Linked DNA regions of Rattus norvegicus. The protein of the gene in region 2 interacts with the protein of the main gene of each other region in a pairwise test. Links are inferred from orthologs where the notes say so. Each region holds a gene or a part of one and is shown on either strand. Other genes may lie near its edges.

Evidence for each region.
Region 1: the proteins of Aamp (region 2) and Aen interact in binary tests that used the Homo sapiens proteins (3 or more experiments, as listed by UniProt). The link is inferred for Rattus norvegicus from reciprocal best matches to the Homo sapiens genes AAMP and AEN.

Annotation. Positions count from the first base shown.
Region 1 is NC_086019.1:142,221,229-142,228,406, forward strand, and holds the start of Aen (apoptosis-enhancing nuclease), read left to right. Parts: upstream 1-3,304; 5' UTR 3,305-3,597; intron 3,598-6,488; 5' UTR 6,489-6,551; coding exon 6,552-7,076; intron 7,077-7,178. UniProt on the Homo sapiens protein: Exonuclease with activity against single- and double-stranded DNA and RNA. Mediates p53-induced apoptosis.
Region 2 is NC_086027.1:83,313,346-83,320,734, forward strand, and holds the start of Aamp (angio-associated migratory cell protein), read right to left. Parts: upstream 4,981-7,389; 5' UTR 4,486-4,980; coding exon of another isoform or gene 4,419-4,485; 5' UTR 3,972-4,418; coding exon 3,851-3,971; intron 3,658-3,850; exon of another isoform or gene 3,625-3,657; coding exon of another isoform or gene 3,522-3,624; intron 3,393-3,521; coding exon of another isoform or gene 3,390-3,392; coding exon 3,234-3,389; intron 2,541-3,233; coding exon 2,421-2,540; intron 1,884-2,420; coding exon 1,744-1,883; intron 1,488-1,743; coding exon 1,343-1,487; intron 1,135-1,342; coding exon 1,051-1,134; intron 951-1,050; coding exon 835-950; intron 747-834; coding exon 643-746; intron 493-642; coding exon 402-492; intron 253-401; coding exon 98-252; intron 1-97. Other genes in the region: probable hydrolase PNKD, read left to right, coding at 4,419-4,485, 5,218-5,386. UniProt on the Homo sapiens protein: Plays a role in angiogenesis and cell migration. In smooth muscle cell migration, may act through the RhoA pathway.

The sequences.
Region 1 (7,178 bases), on a different chromosome or scaffold from region 2:
GTACAAATGATCTGAGTTAAGTTAGCCTTCCTTTAAAATTTTACTTTCTATTTTGTCCTTCTGGTTGTGAGCCTAGCCTTTGATGGCTTGAGTAGAGCCATCTTTCCAGTCCTAACTTTATTTTTTTTTAATATCTTTTAATTCTTTGGGAATTAAACCTATAGGGTTGGGGATTTTAGCTCAGCGGTATAGCGCTTGCCTAGCAAGCCCAAGGCCCTGGGTTCGGTCCCCAGCTCCGAAAAAAAGAAAAAAGAAAAAAAAAAACTATAAACATCCAATGCATTTTAAACATATTCATTCCCATTCCTCCTAGATCTACTGGCCACCCTCTCCCTTCCAATCTCGGGTCGTTTTTTCTTTTACTGCGACCCACTGATTCCAGTTGCCGCTGCCCAGGTTTGCACGGATGTGGAACTAGCCACTGGAGTGCGGTTGGTCGACCTATCCACAGCCACATTCTGTTGACTCATCCAGGAAAGCCAGCTCTTCTCTCTCCCAGCAACCATCAACTATCAGCAGCCAAGGATGGGGAGGGCTTGTGAGTTGCTGCAGGATTCAAGCTCTTGAAAGGGTGACTGTGTTGATCCTGTGGAGGCAGCCCCAGGGGCTATGAAGTTAAGAGTGCCATGGTCCTGTCTTGCCCAGGAGACATGGACATGACCCCAGTCCTCTTCCTCCTGCTCTTGCTCTTACAGTCTCTCTGCCCAGTCTTCCAAGATGGTCTTGAGCTTTGGGGAGAAGGGGTGGGCCATAGATGTCTCCTCTTGCCCACTGCACCAAAAAACTACTCTAATGAGGTCTGGGGTTGCACTAATCGAATGCACGATTATACAAATTTTTTCTTTTTTTTTTATTAACTTGAGTATTTCTTATATACATTTTGAGTGTTATTCCCTTTCCCGGTTTCCGGGCAAACATCCCCCTCCCCCCTCCCCTTCCTTATGGGTGTTCCCCTCCCAACCCTCCCCCCATTGCCGTCCTCCCCCCATAGATTAGTTCACTGGGGGTTCAGTCTTAGCAGGACCCAGGGCTTCCCCTTCCACTGGTGCTCTTACTAGGATATTCATTGCTACCTATGGGGTCAGAGTCCAGGGTCAGTCCATGTATAGTCTTTAGGTAGTGGCTTAGTCCCTGGAAGCTCTGGTTGCTTGGCATTGTTGTACTTTTGGGGTCTCGAGCCCCTTCAAGCTCTTCCAGTTCTTTCTCTGATTCCTTCAATAGGGGACCTATTCTCAGTTCAGTGGTTTGCTGCTGGCATTCGCCTCTATATTTGCTGTATTCTGGCTGTGTCTCTCAGGAGCGATCTACATCCGGCTCCTGTCGGTCTGCACTTCTTTGCTTCATCCATCTTGTCTAATTGGGTGGCTGTATATGTATGGGCCACATGTGGGGCAGGCTCTGAATGGGTGTTCCTTCAGTCTCTGTTTTAATCTTTGCCTCTCCCTTCCCTGCCAAGGGTATTCTTTTTCCTCATTTAAAGAAGGAGTGAAGCATTCACATTTTGATCATCCGTCTTGAGTTTCGTTTGTTCTAGGGATCTAGGGTAATTCAAGCATTTGGGCTAATAGCCACTTATCAATGAGTGCATACCATGTATGTCTTTCTGTGATTGGGTTAGCTCACTCAGGATGATATTTTCCAGTTCCAACCATTTGCCTACGAATTTCATAAACTCGTTGTTTTTGATAGCTGAGTAATATTCCATTGTGTAGATGTACCACATTTTCTGTATCCATTCCTCTGTTGAAGGGCATCTGGGTTCTTTCCATTTTCTGGCTATTATAAATAAGGCTGCGATGAACATAGTGGAGCACGTGTCTCTTTTATATGTTGAGGCATCTTTTGGGTATATGCCCAAGAGAGGTATAGCTGGATCCTCAGGCAGTTCAATGTCCAATTTTCTGAGGAACCTCCAGACTGATTTCCAGAATGGTTTTACCAGTCTGCAATCCCACCAACAATGGAGGAGTGTTCCTCTTTCTCCACATCCTCGCCAGCATCTGCTGTCACCTGAGTTTTTGATCTTAGCCCGATTATACAAATTTTAAGGGCAGTTTGATACTGTCAGTTTAGCAAAACAGTAGTAGATTTGATTCTGGGGTCTATGAGCTCCTCTAGCTTTTCCTTTTTAAATTTATTTAAAAAAAAACCTATTTTGTGTGTGAGTGAGTGTGTGTGTGTGTGTGTGTGTGTGTGTGTGTGTGTAGGTGTAGGGACTGGGGTGGGTGTGGGTGGGTGAGTATGCATGCCCGTGCATGTTAGAGGACAACTTCAGGGAGTTTCTTGTTGTTTGGGGTATCTCGTTTCTGCCTACCCTAGCTAGCCAGAGAGCTTCGGTTAATTTTTCTGTCTCCATTACCATCTCACTGTAGCACTGTAGGAGTACTCTGTCTCTTCCCCTCCCCCTCTTCCTCTCCCTTCCTTTCTTCTCTGCGTAGCTTTGGCTGTCTTGGAACTTGCTCTGTAGACCAGGCTGGTCTGGAACTCAGAGATCCACCTGCCTCTGCCTCCTGAGTGCTGGGATTAAAGGTGTGCACTTTAATCAGCTTTCTAAGAAGGTCCAGGGATCAAATTCAGGTCATCGGGTTTACCGAGCAAGCACCTTTTTACTTCCGAGGCAACTCTCCCATCCCCCTTTTAAAAACTTTTCATAGGGAAATGAGTATATGAATAAAATATGCAAAGGAATACTTAATATGGGTGTGGTGGCAAAATGCTGTAATACCAGTATTTAGGATGTCAGAGGCAAGAGGATCAGAAGTTCATTCACAACTATACAGAAAATACGAACTTGATACTGGAAAAAAGAAGGAAAATGAGACAGCCTGGGCTACAGGAGATCATGTCTCGAAAAACAAAACAAAAAATAAAAAAACACAAATTAAATAAATATTGAAAAAGCAATGCAGAAAAAGCAAACCTGATTTTTTTTTTCAAGTTTAAAGAATACTGTATTATTTCACCCGGTTCTCAGAACTCCGAGACTGGAGAGGCTGCAGTTCACCCTAGGCAGATTTGGGTGTGCACCTTGTGACTTTAAGTCTTTGAAGTTTGACGTTCACTAGGCGTCAGGTCAGAAACCAGACGTTCCATTCAGTTTTTTACTAACCTCCTAAACATTGCCCTCTCCCGGCGCAGACCACGCGCTCCTCCTACGGTAGCCCCACCCCTTCTGACTGGCACGCCTACTCCAGGAGGAGCAGGATCAGCCAATCCGAGGAGGCCTTAGGCGGGCCCTACGGCCCAGCGAACCAATAGACAGGCAGCCGAAGCCGGGCATGTCCGGGCAAGCAACTACTGCTGCCGTCAAGGCTTCCACGTGAAAGCCGCAAAGTGCGGCCCGGTCTTCAGGTGAGCTAGGGGACCGCCACAGGGAGCCCCGGGCTGCGGGTTCCTGTCGCCAGCCTCACGTGGCTCTCGGGACCGGGTGGTGTGCAGCCAGGCCGGAACGCGGCCTCACGCGGTCTTTCCCAACTTGGAGCCGGTGGGCATCAGGGGACCGCGTGGACATTGAGCGTCCACTGCACGCCTCAGCTGTGAGGATTGCGGCCTGCCCTCATACTTAAAAAACAAACAAACAAACAAAAAACTGGTCAGGTAAGCTTTTGGGTAGCATTGGGGACCTTATTGCGCCAGCCTTTCTCAAACTGGGGTCTTCACAATCGTGACTTGAGGGTGGGGTCTCGGGTCCTGTCCCAAAACTTTGCCTTCTACCTAGGGCGGTTGATGGTTAAGGGACAGTGACTTTCTGATGTCATCAGGTTATTTCGTGCCAGAACAGTGTCTAGACGGGCCCACTGACGGAGGTCGGGTCTACCAGCATGGCAGGTGGGACCCTTATGCCAGTGACGATTCTGGCCTTGCAGTTTTTTGGGAACCTTCTCATCTGGAGTCCTCTTGGGTCAGGGACCTTCACATGAAGGCCAAGTGCCTTCCATACTGGCCAGAGAGAGTTATGATGTGGAATATCTGTACGTGGCTTTGCTAAAAGAGCTGTGTCCTCTGAATACTTCTCTCCAGCTAAACTGAGTGAGTGTCATTCAGGGCTTTGGGCTGTGGAAGTGCGTTCCCGTGATAATTGTTAGTTCTGGCACGTCCACAGGTTCAGGGACTATAGGAAATGACTGCCTTTATCTTTTCAAACAAATGCAAAAATACGGAGACCTCTACTCCGGGGAACCTAATTTTAGCTTCTTTCAAACCTTGCCAGCAGGGGGTAGGAGAGTCCATCCTCCTGCCCCCAACCGGAAGTCCGTGATCAGCAGGGCTAGCACAGGTCTTCTAGGCCAGGTTTTCTCCCTTTGCTGGACTAAGGCAAATTGAGTTTCTGAATTTTTGTCAGTTCTGAGATGTGGTTTGTGGAAATGAGGAAGTTGCTGACAACCTCTTAAAAGACAGGGTACTATTCAGAGAGCAGATGAGCAAGCCGAGAGCAGTTGTGTCAGCATGGGTCACTGAGCCTCCCCCTGGCTAAGTGGACCATTACTCCTAGTGCACATGCTGGCATCAGCAAACACAGACTGTTCTTTCCTCCCCGCTGCTACTGCTACTCCACCCTGTGTCTTAGGGTTCTACTGCTGTGAGCAGACACCACGACCAAGGCAGCTCTTATCAGGACAACATTTAATTAATTGGGGCTGGCTTACAGGTTCAGAGGTTTAGTCCATTATCATCAACATGGGAACATGGCAGCATCCAGGCAGGTGTGCGACTGGAGTTGCTGAGAACTCTACACCTTCATCTGAAGGCAGACAGAAGGCTGTCTTCCAGGCAGCTAGGATGAAAGTCTTAAGGCCCACGCCCACAGTGACACACTTCCTCCAATGAGGCCACACCTCCTGGTAGTGCCACTTCCTGGGCCAAGCATATGCAAATGTCACATCTTGGGCTCCTAGTCTGACCTCATCCTCTGATGAGGTAACCACGATGTCCCCTGGAGTCCTCCAGTGACTCAGTACACCCCCTGCTCCCTAGGTGTTTACAGGCTGCACCAAGTTCTTTGCCTACTCTCCCTGGCTCTTAGGTCTGTGCTTGTCAGGTTTCTCTTTTCTGAATACTCTTCCCACCCTGGGCTTCCCGGCTCTCCTTAACTCAAGGTCTCTTCCCGGTGACTGCCCAGGTTCTCAAGTTCCCTTCCTGTTGATCCGTGGTTTGGAGGACTTCGAGCTCTGTAGTACCCTCCAGGCCTGCCACTGGGAGGCCCAGCTTGGGCTTCTGAAGCCATGAGAGAGGGACAGCAAACACAGTGGGGGCTCTGCAGCTTGCTGACTTGAGGGGACTCTGAGGAAAGCTGCCTGTTGTCTGAGGAGGGCAAAATCCAATGTACTGCAGTATGCAGGATGACCTTCTTTATTCTCCTCATAGACAGTTAATAGCCTGGATCAGTGCTGCTTGGTCCACATTTTACTGGCCCACCTTGGTGCCTTGGGCCTCCCTCACTTCACCAGCAGACACTAGGCTGAAGACACCAGTATGGGTAAGGGTGGCTTGTGGAAGGACCGCTCAAGTCAATGGCAGAAGGTGAGGTGGTAACCCACCAGACAGTTATAACTGGTGACTTCAAGTTGCTGCTGGCCCCTCTGCCCCAGCATGAGACTAGTCAGGCCTTTGTCCCTGGTGTTTCCATTGCCCACTCCCTCTTCCCTGTAGGGTTACTGCTCCCCATTTACTCGGAAGTGACTTCTGGGATCATCTGCAGCTCTTTGCCTTCTTTTCCTCCTTGTATGGCTAGCCGGCTCTCAGCGCACTGTCTGCCGCATTTCTGTGTCTGGTCCAACCAAGCTTCCCGGCCCGGGATCCATCTTTGTAACTGTCCAGCACCTGGCACAGTTGGGACCCCAGGGAACCTCTTTGTAACGTTGGGGAGATCCAGGGGTTTCAGAACAGCATTCCGTGATACAGAACTGTGTCTGAAGGCGTTGGAGGGGTGTGGTTTGGGAACAGCAGTGAGTCCACGTGGAGGTGCTCTGGCCCAAGGGTAGCTGGCGTCTGGCGTAGGAAAGAGTAAGCTTTGCTGAGGAAAAGGCAGAAGGGTGTGTGTGTGTGTGTGTTTGTAAGGGAGGGAGAAGTAGACAGACTTGGGCACAAGAGTTTATAAAGACCCAGGTTAAACTTTGTTCGGCAGATTTGGGGGTTTTCGGTGTGGGGTGTTCAGCTGGACTCTTGTTTCTGTAATCTTTGCTGCCCTGTAGCCATACTTCTCACACCACTGAGTGAGCTTGAGGTTCAGAGCATGGACTCTGGGTTCCTGTCTACACCGTTTCTTTTCTGTACAGCGAGGGTGATGATACTTTGTGGGGTCGGTGGGGGTGGGATATTCCATGCAGCTCTTGTTGAGGGGATTCTCAGGAGGCATGGATGGCATGTGCAGTGTTTGAGTGCAGTTCTTGGTGAAGGCGTCTGAGTTTTCAGGCAGGTGCTTGAAGATGAGAGGCAGGGCGTCCTGGCATCCTCCTCCCAGCCCCTCTTCCTTTGTGCTCTCTCTTCAGCACACTGCCTCGTGGGCAGACAGCCTCCAGAGCTTTCTTACCGCTGCCTGTGAGCTGGCTGGCATGGTGCCCAGGGAAGTCCCTGAGTCTTCCCTCACTAGCCTGAAGACCAAGGATGTGGCTCGGAGGAGACACAAAAGGAGAAGCCGGCAGCACCAGCGGTTCATGGCCCGCAAGGCCTTGCTTCAGGAGCAGGAGTCGTTGAGCATGGTACCAGGGCCAGGACTCTGCCCTCTGCCCTCCCCAACACAGACGCCAGCAGGCACAGAGGCTTCAGGCAACAGGAAACAACGTACCAAGGCCAGGTCTGGCAGCAAAGGCCTGTGTAGCAAAAGGCCTGTCCCCAGAGAAGCCCCAAGCTCTGGGCCCAGCAAGTATGTGGCCATTGACTGTGAGATGGTGGGTACCGGCCCCCAAGGGCGAGTGAGTGAGCTAGCCCGCTGCTCCGTGGTGAGTTACAGTGGTGATGTTCTCTATGACAAGTACATCCGGCCTGAAATGCCCATTGTGGACTATCGAACCCGCTGGAGCGGCATTACCCGTCAGCACATGCACAAGGCTATCCCCTTTCAGGTGGCCCAGAAGGAGGTAAGGACCCTGGGCCTTATTTGGCCAGAATGACAGTTTGGGGAGAGAAGCCCTGGTGTGAGGGATCGCTTTGGACTAGGGTGAAGGGCCTTGAGATTGAGA
Region 2 (7,389 bases):
GTCTCATTTCCCTTAGGAATCCCTTCCCATTCCACCAGGGACCTGTGCTACCTCACGCTAGATCCACTTTCTAGAGCTGCCAGCCTACAATGCTTACTTGCTGAGTGCAAAGTCCAGGATCTCAGCAGTGTGGCCCCGGTAGTCAGTAAGCAGGCGGCCAGTCCGGGCATCCCAGAGACGTACAACACCGTCCAGGCTACAGGTGTACACCACAGCAGTGCCAGCCTCCCACAGCAGCTGAACAATGCCCGACTGTCCGGAATGTGACACAGTAACGGAGTAAGGCAGAAGTTAGGAGAAAGAAGACCCCATCCCCACTCTCAGAGTGGTCACAGAGGACAGGCTGCCCTTTAGCTAGCACAGCAGCCCAATGTGTAGGAACAAAGGCCCAGACATCATACCTGGTGCTGACATTGGTGCCGAAGTGTCTGTGTAGACAGGTCATAGATGGCCAAGGTTCCATCCAGATAGCCAACAGCGGCCAGAGGCATGCTGGGAAGCAGGTGACACAAAGAAGGCTCTTGAGGTCCTAGATTCATACACCTTCCCTCTTCCCTGGTTCCAATATGTGGATCCCTCCTCAAAACCACCTCCTCCCTCTTGTTTCTTGGGTCTCCAGGCCAAGGCTCTGCTCACACTCACACACTGCAGAAGCCCAAGGACTCCACGGAGTTGGACTCACTCTCCTCACCCTCTCCCAGGCTAGGCTGGGAGGCGACTGTCTCAGGTCTGAACACACCCACCACCTATAGGTAAGAGAAGAGGCTCACAGACCTGGGCAAAGAGAAGGACAGGGAGGGACAGAAGGTTTAGACAGAAGCCTAAGCTACTTACCTTGCCAGTGGTGGCACTGACCAGCTTGGCCTGACAGTCCACGGAACCAGTCAGGATTAAGCTGCCATCCTGGTTGGTGGCAACACAGGTTAGAGGGCCCTGATGACCCTCAGTCCCTAGAACAGAGCAGGTTTACCAAGGTTCCGAGTTCTGTACCTGGCTCTCAGGCTCCTCCCTCCAAGCCAAGGAAAACACCCCCACCACCACCTCTCATACCTTTCAGTACATGGATGGGGTTTCCTTGCTTGAGGTCCCAAATCCTGATGGTACCATCTTCATACCCTACCACAGCTCTCTTTCCTAAGGACCAAGGCATGGATAACCAGAGGACAAAGGACACTCAGACACACCAAGAAAAGAATTAACAGGAAGGATAGACTAGGGGGTCCCCAAACTCCCCCTGGAGTCACAGCCAAGACCTAGTGTAGGGCAGGAGACTGGGATGACTAAAGTACCCCCAGTCACTGGAGCCACCCCCCCCCCCCCAGGAAGAGGCGACTGCTCTCACCATCAGGGAGGACACGGCCACAGGTTGCAGGGCAGTTGGGGCCCTGGAAGGTCTTACAGTCACCATTGGGTACCTTCCACATCCAAGTATTGCCGTCAGCTGTGCCGGCCAACAGAACAGGAGCCCGAGGGTGCCACTCCATCCACTGGTCAGAGAGGGAGGATCAGCAAGTAAGGCCTGCTACCCAGCCTACCTAAGAGTCCATGAACCTTATCCAAGGTGTGACCTTCTAAGGTCAGCAAGAACTTAAAGATAAACAGATACATTGTTAGACCAGGGGTGCTGTGGCTCAAGGCAAACTTCTCCAGTATACAGAGGGCTATACCTGCCACCATCCCTCCCAGAAGCCCTCATTCTCACTTAAGGTCCCACAGAGTTGAGACCCACTCCAAGGATCTCACCTCCAGGTCTCCTGCTTCAAAGGACCAGACTTCTTCCTTGGTCTCTACCTGCCATACTTTCAAAAGACCACTCATGTCCCCTGTGGCCACTAGGGTGGAATCATGACTGAAACCAGCACATGTCACAGAGTCTTTGTGGCCTGCAAAGAGAAGTAGGCAGTTTTGGACTCAAATTTGCCTAAGAGATGTAACAAATTCAAGGCTAGCCTTGGCTACATCCAAGACCAACCCAACTATAGAACCTTAAAAAAGAAAAAGTGGTAGAAGAACATTAAAAAAATATCTAAATGATGGGGACATGTGACCCATGCGCTAGTCACCTTTTAAAAGTAATTAAGCAGGAAAAAAAGGTAGGAGGACCTCAGCAAACAAGGGATCAAACTTGCTGCAGCTCCGGGGACCAGACACTCCAGGTTTCCAAGACCAGATACTATCGGCTCCCTATGAAGCAACCAGAGCCTGTTTTCTCTGGGCCGCTGCCTACTCCTGCACCAGCACCGTGCTCATCTTAGCCAGCCTCCCTTGGCCCATTAGCGTTTCCTGTCCGAATGCCTACCAAACTTCTACTGCGGGTCCCTGGACCCAGTACAAGACAGAGGCTAGAAAACAGCTGCTGGGTGTTCACATGAGTCACCCGCCAAGATGTCCAAAGGAACACAACAACCCCAGCCTCTCACCTGCACACTCAAAGAGGAGCTCCCCGTCGCTGAGCCTCCACACAAAGGCTTTGTCGTCTTCACCCCCCGTCACTGCCAAGGTGTTGGTTTTGGGGTCCAGGCTCACACAAAACACAGATGCTGTCCCAAGACACAGTCCATGAGAAAGGGCTCTCACCTAGAGTTCGGCCTTTCAGAACCTTCAGGAAGCACATTCCCTTTCCCCAAAGCCACAGTTATTCTCTCCTGGGAAGGCTGCATCCAGTTCTTGTCTGGAGCATCAGACTGTTAAGAGAAATCTTTCCCAAGCCCACAAAGCTCCAAGTCCTCCTCCAGAGCATATCCCACTGCTGTTCTGTTCCCCTCAGTCTGCACTCTGAGGTGCAAGCCAAGAGGTGGCTCTATGGTCACAGCTGACAGCACAGGCCATACCAGGCTGAGTAGGAATTAAGTTATGAGCAATTCACGAGGCTACAATTCACGAGGCTAGCATCTGAGGTTATTGGTAATGCTTCTTTTCGAGTGTAAACTGCCTTTAATTTCCACTTGGGTTACTCCCATTCACTTTCATCCAAGATAACTTTTTTTTTTTTTTTTAAAGAACACCAAGATTCAGAAAGCTAACTAAGGTAACAGACTGCTAAACAGCAGAGGTAGGATTTGAACTCAGGGGTCTCACTTAACTCCAGTGCCTTTTTGGCCCTTCCTTTGAATATCCTGCAGGCCAAAGTAGGTGGCTTTCACTTTTGTCTCTCATAATAACCTCCCTAGGGCCATGGGCCATACTCAAAGGCCCATCTGCACTGATCTGAGGTGATCCCTTCAAAGGCCTACCTGAGTGCAATGCAAAGGTGACCTCACTGTCATCGGGGCCTTCCATGCTACCGACCACCCCTTCTTGGGGTTCCAGGACCCAGCCCTCGTCATTGCCCTCTTCTTCTTCCTCCTCTTCCTCAAAGTCCACGTCTTCCATCTCCTGGGCCAGATCATCTGCTTTGGGAGAAGCGTTAAAAGATGGAGCTCGAAAAGATAGAGAAGGAATGGGGTAAGGGTTGAAGAATGAAAAAGGTGACGCTAGGGTGGGTCATGTGGCCAAGGGTTAAGGTGTTGTCCCACACGTACCGAGCAGGAAGAGAGCACTTGGGGGGCGGGGAGGGAGAGAGAGGCTAGGTCTGAAGACCCGGTGTTGGCCAGCGACCGTGTAGGAAGAGAGGACAGAGGGCATGATGGGAAGGGGGTGTGTGAGGGGAAGGGCCAGGGGAGGCGTCAGGGAACCCCCACCCAGCCAGGCCTAGAAACTAAATGTGGGGGGTAGGGAAGGAGGTCTGGGAGAGAAATGTCGGTAGGAACGACCGGTAGGGATGGGGGGAGGGGGAACTGGGGAGAAGCAGGGGTCAGAGGCCAGGGGTGAGTGCCTCCTGTCCCGTGGCCTCAGGAGCGTCAGTTCTCACCCGGGTCCGGCGGGCCTGGATCCAGCTCTACCACCTCAATGATCTCTTCATCTCCGTGAAAGCTCAGAGTCTCCAGAGGCGGGGTGTCAGCGGCCGCTCCGCTCTCCGATTCGGACTCCATGCGGCGAAACCTACCGATCCACTTCTCTGGGCCCAAACGCCTCCCAGAGTCAGCTCTGCGCGACGACGCGGAACTCGAGCCCCTCCTCCCGGGAGGAAGTAGGCGTAGGTGACTCCCAGCCGAAAGAGCGACGGCATCCGGGCCAATAGCAACAGAGGTGGACTAACAGAGACGCCAATCATAAGGCAGAACTAGGATGACCAGGCCGGGGCGTGGCGGGAGAGTCCAAGCTCCACCCTACACGACTCCGCCCCCGGCTGGAGGGAAACAAGCGAGCGTGCGCGCCTCCGGCGTCTCCTGGGAGGAGTAGTTCTCCCGGGCCCGCTATGCGGACTTCTGGGAAATGTAGTTTCGACTCTGTAGGCAGGACGGAAGGCGCGGGGGAGGCCCCTTACGCAAACTACAATTCCCGACGGGGAGCGCAGTGAAGGGGGGTGGGACCCGAACATGGCGGCGGTGGTAGCTGCTACGGCGCTGAAGGGCCGGGGGGCGAGAAATGCCCGCGTCCTCCGGGGTAAGGAGAGGGACCCTGGGGAGGGCAGGGTTTTAAAAGATTCCGTTTCCCTTACATCCTACCCAGCGCGACAGCAGGAAGTCAGGCTGCCAATTGCTGCCCACATCTCTCTTTATGATCTTAAGAGAGTCTGGGGGTGAAAAGATGCTCTAGAGGTCATCCAGTCCAACCCCTGCGTTTAGGTCGCGCGGCATGTCTAGGGTCTTATTGCTAGAGAGAGTACCAGAGACATCTTTCGACTCCCGCGTCCCAGGGGTTTCACACTCACCGCAGTGCAGAGGAAAGAGCCCTAGGCTTCTGGAGGTTTGAGTTCTAGCACTGAGTAATTAGCGGTTTGACCTTGTGCGAAGCAGCTCGTCTCTCCGGGCTTCAGCTTCCTCTTCAACGGGATGGAGTTAGTTATCCTTTAGGATAGCTAAGGTCCTGCAGTTTTAAAACAGTTCCCCGAATTTCCTTCATTCGTATGTCTCCGGTGAGTTCCTCTGCAGTCCTTCCCAACCTGTCTTCTGAGTAGAACAGCAGCGAAGCTCACTGCCTTGGCACCAGGGTGAGGAGTCCGCAGTGACGTGGAAGTAGCTTCCAAAGGTGTCACCCGATGGCGATTTTCCCATTTCTCTTTAGATTCTTCACAGCACTTATTACTCCAAACTGCAGTCACTCCCCTTCCTCAAATCTCAGCCCCTCTAACCCTCCCTCATCCCCCATACTGACCTGCGGTACTTTTATTCACAGGGATCCTCTCTGGAGCGACAGCTAACAAGGCTTCCCAGAACAGGACCAGAGCACTGCAGAGCCACAGCTCACCAGAATGCAAGGAGGAGCCTGAGCCCCTCTCCCCTGAGCTAGAATACATTCCCAGAAAGAGGGGCAAGAACCCCATGAAAGCTGTGGGACTAGCCTGGTGAGTTTTAACTGCCCCTTTGCCTACCAGTGGGGAGTGTACTGAAAGGTGTTGGAACCTAGAAACTTCTCCAAGTTGCAAGGGCAGAGCTGAATCCAAGGGAAGGAAATTGCTGGATTCAAGGGATGGAATCTCAGAAGAATGGGGTGAGGTGAGGGTGGAATAATATGTAAAATTGGGGGACAGTGGCTTTTCTTTGGAGCAAATTGAGCTGATCTGATTTGGAGTCGTTGGATTCATCCTTCCCTTTGGGAGCAGGGGTAACATTCCAATCCCAGTAATTAAAATAGTGTCAGATTGTGTTGTATAGAAGCTAGAATCGTTTCTGTGAGTTCTGTGGTTCTGATTCTGGTTTTAATACATATTACTGATTATCAATCACTAAAGTAAAAGGAAGGGAAATTAACATTTTTTCCAGCAAATGTCTGAGGTATGACAGTACTGTGCCATATAATGTTTTAAGCTTTCTGAGGTAAACATTGCACTTTCATCTTGCCAAGCAGGGAACTGAGGCTCCCAGCTGCAATTGTCACCAGCTCTTGTGGCTTCCTGTTCTTTGGCACTTGCCAAGGCCCTCTTTTAGTAGTAGTTACTCTGATTGAGAGTTGGTTGACGTACCTTAGTGGTTGTGCACATGCTTAACATCTTTGAAGCCCTAAGTTCGATTTGCAGCACCGTAAAGAAAAATAGAGAGGTCTGGCAAGGGACACAAGACAGTATATGCAGAGAGGTCCTTTGCTAACTCAGAGCAAGCCTGGGCTGCTTAGGCTATCACACAGAAGCATTCAGCACAAGAGGCTCATCAATATCAGCCATAAGAGGACAGATGAAAAGGTAGGTAGGACCACACTGGGCTTTTAGTGCCCTGCCTTAGGAGTTTGGAGTTGGCCAGGATATAATAGAGAACTATTATGGTTGTCCAAAGCAGGCAGCAGCAGGAGGCTCTGATTTGTGGGTTCCCTCCAGCACTCAGCACAAAGGACAGGTAGAAGTAATATGCCTCACCGCGGCATTTGTACAAGTGGCAAAGCTGGACTAATTCTAGCTCCTCTGGCTCAGTCCCAGTCCCTGCCCAAACCCAGTGCCCATCTCCCCATCCCTAGGGCCATCGGCTTCCCCTGTGGTATCCTCTTCTTCGTCCTCACCAAGCAGGAAGTGGACAAGGACCGCTTGAAGCAGATGAAGGCTCGTCAGAACATGCGGGTGTCCAACACGGGCGAGTATGAGAGCCAGAGGTTCAGGGCTTCGCCCCAACAAGCCCAGTTCCCTGAAGTTGGGTCTGGAGTACAGACCTGAGTAAGGATCATTGCAACCTTGTGCTAGACTTTATTGACTGATGTGTAGCCAACTGTGTTCATTGCTCCTGAGGCCCACCAGAGGGCGCATGATGCCCAAACCGCTGCCAGCACCCACCTCTTCTTCCACATGGTAGAAGGAGTCAAATGCAAATAAAGTTATTAAGTCCTGGCTTGGAAGGGAAGCAAGGCTGAATTTGTAAGCCCCGGGGAGGGGAGGGACAAAGTGGAACTAGCTGCTCATCCCTGTTCCCTCACAGAAGACTTGTCTTCCCAGGAAGGTGGAGTAACCACAGCAAGCCTAGGAACAGGCTCTGGAGACTCATGTCTTAAAAGTCACTGGTTAGGAGGGTAGCTAGCCATCCAGCTTAAAATTAGTTAAAAGTAGTCAGGCATAGACATCTTTTATCTCAGGAAACAGAGGCATGTGGATCTCTGGGTTTGAGGCCAGGGTTCCAAGACAGCCAGAGCAAAATAATAAAGAGGCCTTACCCCAAAAATCAAATGTAGCACTCAGGGTGTGGAAGAAAAAAAATTTTTTTAAAAAGTGCATCTAATTATGTCAGCCTCTCTGGGCCTCCTCTGTAAGAGAAACTAGTTTCCAAGAGATTCTAAACCCATGATCCAGCCCCTTTCCTGTCTGGGGTAAAAATGATAAAGACAGAGCTTCATGGGCAAGTTAGAGCTAGGGAGCTTTTACAGAGGCCT